Caenorhabditis elegans: one gene and its partner. The protein of the gene in region 1 interacts with the protein of each later gene in a pairwise test. Each region holds a gene or a part of one and is shown in the gene's direction. Other genes may lie near its edges.

What was found.
Region 2: the proteins of F13A2.4 (region 1) and F44E2.7 interact in a two-hybrid assay, tested with the Caenorhabditis elegans proteins (one large-scale study listed by BioGRID).

Annotation. Positions count from the first base shown.
Region 1 is NC_003283.11:4,398,100-4,401,851, reverse strand, and holds F13A2.4 (Gag-pol polyprotein), read left to right. Parts: upstream 1-1,633; 5' UTR 1,634-1,670; intron 1,671-2,321; 5' UTR 2,322-2,348; coding exon 2,349-2,376; intron 2,377-2,665; coding exon 2,666-2,931; intron 2,932-2,978; coding exon 2,979-3,060; intron 3,061-3,106; coding exon 3,107-3,120; 3' UTR 3,121-3,217; downstream 3,218-3,752. Other genes in the region: F13A2.5 (M-phase phosphoprotein 6), read left to right, coding at 1-83, 138-251, 305-439, 487-554.
Region 2 is NC_003281.10:8,845,301-8,850,253, reverse strand, and holds F44E2.7 (Putative zinc finger protein F44E2.7), read left to right. Parts: upstream 1-1,781; 5' UTR 1,782-1,783; coding exon 1,784-1,815; intron 1,816-1,863; coding exon 1,864-2,087; intron 2,088-2,641; exon of another isoform or gene 2,642-2,645; coding exon of another isoform or gene 2,646-2,721; intron 2,722-2,844; coding exon 2,845-3,426; intron 3,427-3,470; coding exon 3,471-3,569; intron 3,570-3,618; coding exon 3,619-3,811; intron 3,812-3,868; coding exon 3,869-4,154; 3' UTR 4,155-4,399; downstream 4,400-4,953. Other genes in the region: F44E2.9 (uncharacterized protein), read left to right, coding at 1-146; F44E2.8 (NADAR family protein), read left to right, coding at 385-495, 544-741, 789-1,204, 1,254-1,455.

The DNA of each region.
Region 1 (3,752 bases):
AACTTCTCCCATCTCCGTTTGTCATTATGAAGATGTCATGATGACCCTTGAAAGCGAAATGGAAGGGCTGGATGGTTACATCGGTGAGTTTAATTTCTTTAATATTATGTGGCACATAATGAATTATAAGATTTCAGCATCCCTGTCCCCCGAAGAACAAATTTGGGTCAAAGAAGATGCTCTTCAAAATGAGCAGCTTGTGAAGGAAGCAGTTCCGTGGATGCGCAAGGAAGAAGCTCAGGCGACCACGAGTAGGTCAAAATTGGAATTTTATAAAATTTTGATTTGTAGAAATGATTTGTAGAGTATCGCCAAATGTTGATTGCTCAGAAGAAGAAAGCGATCAATAAATTGCACGGGCATGGAGCCGTAGTTCGCTTCAACCCGGCGCGCAACGCCAAGGCTCCAGTCAACTACAATGAGGGAGATACAGAAGATGGTTTATATGAGTTTTGAGCTTCATGTTTCAATTAGTTATTATTTCAGACATCCAATTTCTGAAGGAGATCAGGAAGAAGTCGAAGAAACCAAAGAAGACTTTGCAGAAGAAGTGAAACTGTCGAATTTAAAATCTGTTTTCCCTGATTATCCTATTCAAAATTTCTTATTTTCCTATTTTCCTATTTTCCAATAAAATGACAATTTGCCAACAATTGAAATCGTAGAGAGTCACATGTTGCTGTTCGAACTCAAGGTCACCGCCTGTTGAACTCAAAATATATATGTGGGATTGTAAACATAGCATGATGGGTAGATAAGAGAATGAGAAGCTTCAGGGGTTAGGAATTTATCTGGGAAAAAGTTTTTTACGCATGAGTTTTCAGTAGCGGAACAACCATAGAGCGTCCAAAACGGCAGAGCTATGCAGAACATTTTTCGCCAAACTTAAAAACTGTTCATTTCGATACCAAAAAACAACTTTGTGAATGGGAAATTAATAGAGAAATGTAGAAAAACTGCCTGTAAATTTGAAAATTTGAATAATAAAAGTTCAAAAATGACGTCAAACGGTGATTTTCAACCACTACTTGAGGTATTTTCCGAGCTCTGCAACAAAAATTAAGTAATATTTTCAGACATAGCAAAAATGTTTCTGCATTTCTATATCAATTTTTGATTTGAAAAGTTGATAAGCAGATTTGTAGATTGCACGTATAAATTTTTATTCGTGGAACTACCAAAGAACTACCAAAATAGGAATGTATAGACAGGTGCACATTTTTGAAGCAGATAATGGAAGAATGTTCTGAAAAAATTCGAAGCTTAATGGGCTTTAAAGTATGTCTAACCGGGTGGTATACTGCCAAGGAATTGAAAAAAAAACGCAGTCCAAATTCCCAATGTACCCATCAGGGGTGTGCGGCAAATTTGCCGAATTCGCCGAATTTGCCGTTTGCCGAGCACGGCAAATTTCAAAAAACTAGATTTGCCGAATTTGCCGAGCTCGGCACATTGTGAGATGTGCCGCACACCCCTGGTACACATGTTTTTACCACCAGATGTTTCATCCTTTAATTCATTCATTTTCATAAATTCAAAATCATTTTCTTTCCTTTTAAAATATCCACATAAAAGGCGTTGACCCCTACGTGACCGCAACATTATCGATTTTCAGGAGTTCGCCGTCGAACACTTTCTCAAAACAATCTCTGCGTGTTCTTGGATAAAAGGTGAGCAAACGGGGGCTAAAAACGCGCTCTATTGCTAATTGTTTTTAACATATTACGGGACCATGAGATCATGAGAATACTTATTTACTGGCGCGAAAATATTTGCAGGCCGCGGAAGCGAGAGAGCATGTGGCGAAGAGAGACACAGGTCCCTTCGCTACGAGATATTTGCCGCCAGAAAAGTAGGCATTCTCATGATCTCATGGTTCCGTACTAACCGCTAACTTTTTTAGGGGGGGGGGGGGGGTATAAAAGGGAGAGTTTGGTGATTGGGCAGCCATTTGCCTACCTGCTGCTCTCTTCGATTCTCTTCTCCATTATTGACAGCTAAGCAGCTTTTCTTTTTGTTTCTAGGCACTCCCGACGTTGAACTTACCCTTTAAAAATAGTAAAATAAAATATACAGAAACCAGGGATGTCCTATTTGTATTATGATCTGTGTTAATGGCGTGGAAAAACTGACTTTCTATACTTGGCCGAAAGTTTGCCAAATTTTGTCGTTTGCCAAAAATTTGAAAAACCGTCTTCCGAATTCGCTTTCGGCTCAAAATTAGTTTTCAACTAGCAGACACTTTTTTTTTAATTTTTCAAATTCTCTAGTTTTCATTTTCCTTTCCTTTTTGTCCTTCAATCTCAATCCAAGTTTTTCAGGTAAATAGTTCATCAGCTCTCCCCACTATGACATCTGAAACTGCTGCCCAATTTGGTGAGTTTTATTTGGTTTTCGATCAGAAATACCTCTTTTCTCATTATTGTGTCTAAGTTTTTTTTTTGAATTTTATGTAGAAATGTAGAGAAATATTTGTACTTTATGAAGATGTATTTACTTTCAATAAAAAGTTGCAAAAAGTTTCTTAAAACATTGATATTCGAGTCAGTTTTTGAGCACCTTTTCAAAACTTTTGACTGAAAGTAAAGTTATTTTTAGAAATTACAAATACTTCTCTGTCTGTTTCCTATGTGTATTCCTATCTGTAACCTATCTGTAATTTCAGGCATTGTCCCCAACCTCGCCCATCAAAGCGCCGAGGAACGCGCTCGTGACGCACCCCGGCTCCCATTCCTCATGAAGCTCAACCTTCTCGTTGAAGCTCGAGGAATCACCTCCTTTGAGGATCTTCTGCAAGCGAAAACCGAAGTTGAGAAAGAGCTGGAGGTTGGAAAGCAAAAGGATCTCGCTGAAGACAAGGAGAACGATGTTGAAAGCGAAGAGCGACTCCCGGAGGAACCCAAGGCAAAGAAGGCGAAAAAATCTCCGAAGGTATTGATTCATTTTCAACCACATTTCTATATTCAACATCTTTTTAGATCAAGGGCTTCCCAAACCTAGTGAGAAGAAATGCCCGCCGCGGCATGGGTGTCCTTGGAGGTGAGACCTGGACCGAAGAAAGTAAGCATTTTGAGCCTGAAGCTTTTGCATAATATTTTTATTTCAGTCGTCATGGGCTAAACCGTCGGGATGGGGATATGACATATTGATTGGTTAATCTTATGTTTTTTATGTGAATATTGCAATGTGAAAATGTAGAATAAAGTTTATACAGTTGATTAGGTTTTTGGGTATTATTCAATTTGAAATTTTCAGGAGCTAAATATTTTCAGGAATAAAGTTTAGAGTCTTGCCGCGAATTCAGAAATCTTTTTTGGCCTCACAAATATAAAATTTTTGCTAATATAAGAAAATTGAAGTTTTACAATAAAAACTGCACAAAATGGTAAATTTTGAAAATTCCAGAGATCCTATTAACTGTCTGTGTTTCATCATCGTAGAAGTTCGATCCTTTTGATTCAGTTGAAATCTTTTTTTGCAGATTACTCATGTTATAACCAAATTGTTTATAATTTTATCATCCTTTCATGCCGGGTGGCCTATCGGCTTTTCTTTCACCCATTTTATGGTGTAGCTCCGACAAGATTTTGTTTACAATTTGCGAGCTCTGTATTTTTTGAGCAAGTAGCCTTTTGGCCTAATTTCCGCGTATTCACCAAGAATAATCTACAAACATTTGTTAATCTTGCAAGGCTTTGGGCCATTTCGGGCCTAAAAAAAGTCTCAGATTTCGGTACTACACCTTTAAAAAT
Region 2 (4,953 bases), on another chromosome or scaffold:
ATCTCTTCTGCAAATCTGGAAATCTTGTGGATTTTGAGATGGACTTTGAGAATAAACTGAGATCGATTCGACGTGAAGAAATCCGAAGTTTGGAGCAATACACGAATGCGAAAAGCCCAGAAGCCAAATTTGGTGGAATAATTTGAAAATTTGTTGATTATTTCGATAACTTTTCGACTTCTTTACTTAGTCTTTTATAACGGTTGATAGCTCTTGTTTGTTAAATATGTTGATTTTGTTAAAATTATGTTATACTTTTTAAATGCCTTTTTCGTTTTCCTACTGGTGACAATTCCACTTGACTACCTTTTCGCATATTTCAATATTTCTCGAAATCTTTATCAAAATAATCTCACTATTAACAGAACATTTTCAGAACCAAAAATGAACAAGAAATCGGTCGGACAACCACCGGAAGGTCTTCATGAGACTAAATCGTTGGCATCGGCTCTTCCTGAAAAGAATGCCGAGCAAAGACCAAAATATGTACAAATTGTAGGAATTGCTGGAATCCTATTTAATAAATAATTTCTAAATTTATAGTTGAAGCAAGAAACCGCTGGCCCTGCTCAGGTGTCTCCTGCGAAATCTCCAGTTGGTCTTGGAAATTCTTCTCCTGCTGAATCGCCAGTTGTTGAGCCAAAGAAGACGAATGCTAAAGGAAAAGGATCCAAGAAAAATAATTTCGCTCAGCAAAATGGGAAACGGCCATTCAGAGTTTTTCTGAAGAAACAGGAAGTCGTAAGTAAAGTAAAGAATGAAGTTCGACAAAAATTATCTTATTTTAGGTTGCTCTTCCATCTGAAATAAAGTCCCGTGAACTTCCGATCGCCCCGGACAATGTAGTCTACTTCAATGGTCCTACTCATTATCTGTCTGCACTCTACCCGTGTACTGTTGTTGTGGATGGAAATGAGTATAACTCGGTTGAGCATTACTATCAAGCATGCAAACTCTATGTGCTCACTGGTGAACAGTCTGCTGCTCAGTTGAAAGCCTCTGAAACTCCGATCGAGGTGAAGAAAGCGACGAAGAATATTTTGAAAGAGGCGAAGATTCCAGCCAAAAAGATCTCCGCTTGGAAGGACAAGGACAGTATCGCTGTGCTCAAGCATGTTATTTATCACAAATTCAATCAAAACGATGAGCTGAAAGTCAAGCTTCTCGATACCGGAGACAAAATCCTCATTCAGACTTATATCGGGTTAGTATTATATTATTAACAACAATATTATTTACAAACCTTTTTTCAGAGACACGTACTTCGCTGCCGGCGCCAATGCCAAGTATACGAGCACTTGGGTGGATCGCCATGTCAATCAGAGCCTCAAATATCCGGAAAACGTGGTCGTCGACAACGTTCAGTATTTGCCATTGGTGGCCAACGGAAAGAATGTTCTCGGATGGATTCTTATGCAAGTTCGCGACGAGCTTCGTATGCGATCCTCCGCCTAAGCTCTCTCCAATGTTCTTTTTTGTCATTCCTCTCGTCGTACTTAAATGGGTCTCTTCTGCTGAATTTTCTATCGTTCCCTGTTATGTTTCATTTTAAATTATATGCGTCTTCTAGAACATCTCATTGTGCTCAACTTTGTCACAATGGTTCTGCTTGCTAGCTTAATTTTCTATATATGAAGAAACTGCATGATCGTATAATAAAATGTTGTTTTATATGAGTTTTTGCTACGGTATTTTATTGAAAAGGTATTTTCCTTAGCATCCTTAAGTTTGATTCGAATTTTTGAGTACTTCAAGAGTTTATTTTAGGTATAATCATCAAATAATGGTGAAACCAACCAGCTCGCTTCTTCAAAGGTTAGTCTATTCTTTAAGATTTAGTTTATTAAATATCGAATATTTCAGATACAAAAACAATGTTCGGGTGGATCCATCAACTCTAAACCACTACTTATGCTACTATTGCGGAAAAACATTGTCCGATCGGCTCGAATATCAGCAGCACATGTTAAAAGTTCATGAAGTTATGTCACAGTCCTATCAACTATGGTCTGATCACACAATGGACACATTAGGATTAATATGGAGTGAATCTAAACGGAGCTATGACCGGGATACTTCATGTTCTCGTGAGTAATGTTTTCTTTTTTGATTAGATAGTGATAAGGAACAATATTCAGAATGTGAAATTCTGAAAGTAGCCGGAGATTATAATTTCACAAAAACTTCTTTCATTCTAAAAATTGCAATATAGAATAAAACCTCTTGAGTGTCCACAACATATATATTTCTTACTGGTCATCTTTTAAACATTAATGTTAATATTCGCATTCGGAAAAAAAATTTTTCTCTGCGTCTCGATGAGAGAATGCAACTGCGCTCTACTGCACACCTATTCCTTACCACTGGCACTGGGCTTCCTCAATCTTTATTATTATTTTTTCCTTATTTTTGATAACTTAAAAATTCAAGAGATGCTTCTGTTTTGTTCCAGAGCGCGGCAGTAAAATCGAACCTAAATTTTTCCGATGAATTCGGACATTGACGTAGCACATCTTCTTGACAGAGTGGCAACACTTGAATCGATGGTGGGAGTACTGCAGGATAAAAATGACCAGAAAGATAGCGTTATTTTGAGTCTATCTAAGGCACTTGACAGCCAACTGGCTGAAATTAAAGATTTAAAAATGTGGAAAAAGACTGAACAAAATAGGCAGATGATTCAAGGAACTGCGCATAGACCAGATGAAGGTTCTGAAATTCGTAGGTTTTAGGTTTTTCCACGTAAACACTCGGATTATGTATTCAAGAAAATGCCGATTAGCTATGTTTAAATACAATTTAATGAAAAAAAATACGAGAAAACCTTATTAAATCTTTATACAGTTTCAGTTCCCGCTTCTCCTATGTCAAGAGAATCAAGAAACAGGAATTCGGACGATGATTATTACGATTATGTGTACGAAGACGAAAAGCCAAAAAGGAGAAGGATCGACGTGGAACAATCGAGACGATCGGTTGCTGCCGCAGCAGAAAAGCATCGAAAATTGCTAGAAGAGCAGAGAAGAAAAGCTGAAGCTGAATATGAACGAAAAAGGAAAGCTGATGAAAAGAAAAAAGAAAAAGCCATAAAAGACGAAGAAAAGCGTAAAGCAGAAGATTTGAGAAAATGTTTACAGTTGCAGCAACAGAAAACTGCTGCTGCTGCTCAAATAAGAGAAACTGCAGAGAAAGCAGCAGTGGCGAGAAGGATGAGTACTTTTGAGGTTGGAGAATCGTCAGAACAGCTAGCAAAGCCGGAAGGGGAAAAGAGAAAAAGAAGAAGAACTGAATCACGATGGCGAGAAATCGAATCTGATAGTGATAAGCCAGAGGTGACCGCATTGGTGAAAAAGATTTTGGAGGAAAGCAAGAAAAAGGAAGCGTCAAGCCAAGAAGTTGAAGATGCTGATCTGGTCCCTGAGCTTTGTAAGTTTCTGTGAATCTGTGTTAAATAAGAATAACGATTTCAGCCACACGAAAACCATACGATAATACGGAGCATGTTTCAAAGTTATGCAAAGTGTGCAAAAAGGGTCCTCATTATACATTTGCAAATCTGTTCGAGCATTGTGAGTTTCTTTATTTGTGACCTATTTTACAAAATGTTGAAAATTTCAGATCAAGACCTCCATAATGCAACAATCAAATCACTTCACTATTATGGATTTAACGGAAATAAGTTAATTGGAAAGAAGAATCTAATTGAACGAGATCACTGTCAGAGATGCGTTATCAAGTTCCCAAGAGCACGAGATTACTTTGCGCATATGATTAAACATCACGTTTATGAAAGTGTCAGATGCCAGCTTGAGTTAGTTTTAAACGAAATTATTCGCTGTGATTAATGTTCTAACTTTTTCAATTTCAGTTTCGAAAACGCCACCAACGCGGACGTTGAAGCTAGAATGATGTTCCGTGACAGAATCCTGACTCTTGGATACAACTTCAAATTCGAGCAAGTAGCTGATCCAAATCTCGTATCAGATGTTTTGGAACCTGGACAAGAACCATCGACAAGTGCGGAGCAGGAAGATCCGAGCTCGCTCAAAATCGTAAAACTCGAGGAACCAGAACTTGAAGAACAAAAGGCTTTGAAACCAGAATCAGAGGCGATGGAGCAGCAGGAAGACGTACACTCGCTGAATCCTGAATAATTCATTAATTTTCAATCATATTTTGTTATTTTTTTTCGGGTTCTCACAAACAATTTTACGTGAAACGTGATTCTTCATGTTTCGCGCGATTCTCAAAATCTAATCTCATTCTGTCTCCCATCTAGATATCTTATATTTCGGTGTAATATCTCTCTTCCACCACTCATAATGCAACTTTTACATTCAATAATTTTCAATTTGTTACCTGAACATTCCCGTTTTTAAATGAATTATTATTTCGACTATTTTGTTTCTTTCAGATTCAAGGAAAAGAAAAATTGGATATCCAGTTTTCACTGCTTAACACTTTAAATAAATGTATTCTATTTTGCAATGAATTTTGGTCAAAAATACGTTGCCCGGTCTCGACACGACAAATCTTTGATTGAATTCAAAATTTCAATTTGTGCGCCTTAAAGACTACTGTAATTTAAAACTTTTGTTGCTGCAAAATTTTCATCGATTTTCAATTTTGTTTTTGTCTCGTGATTTGTAAAAATTTTAGTATTAGAATGAATAAATATATTTTTTAAATAATTTCATCGAAAAACTACATTTAAAATCGATATAATTCCCATTTCAACACAGGTTTTAAATCACAGTACTTTTAAAGGCGCACATCGATTCGAATCCAGCGAAAATTTGTCGCGTCGAGACCGGGTACCGTAATTTTAGCGCAAAACTTTGCTTCTGGATAATATTGCGAATTCTCCGCTTGAAATGGACATTTTTTGATTAAAAAAAGGCGTGTTTCAAATTGTCGAAACTCATTATTTATTTAAATGATATATCAGTCACC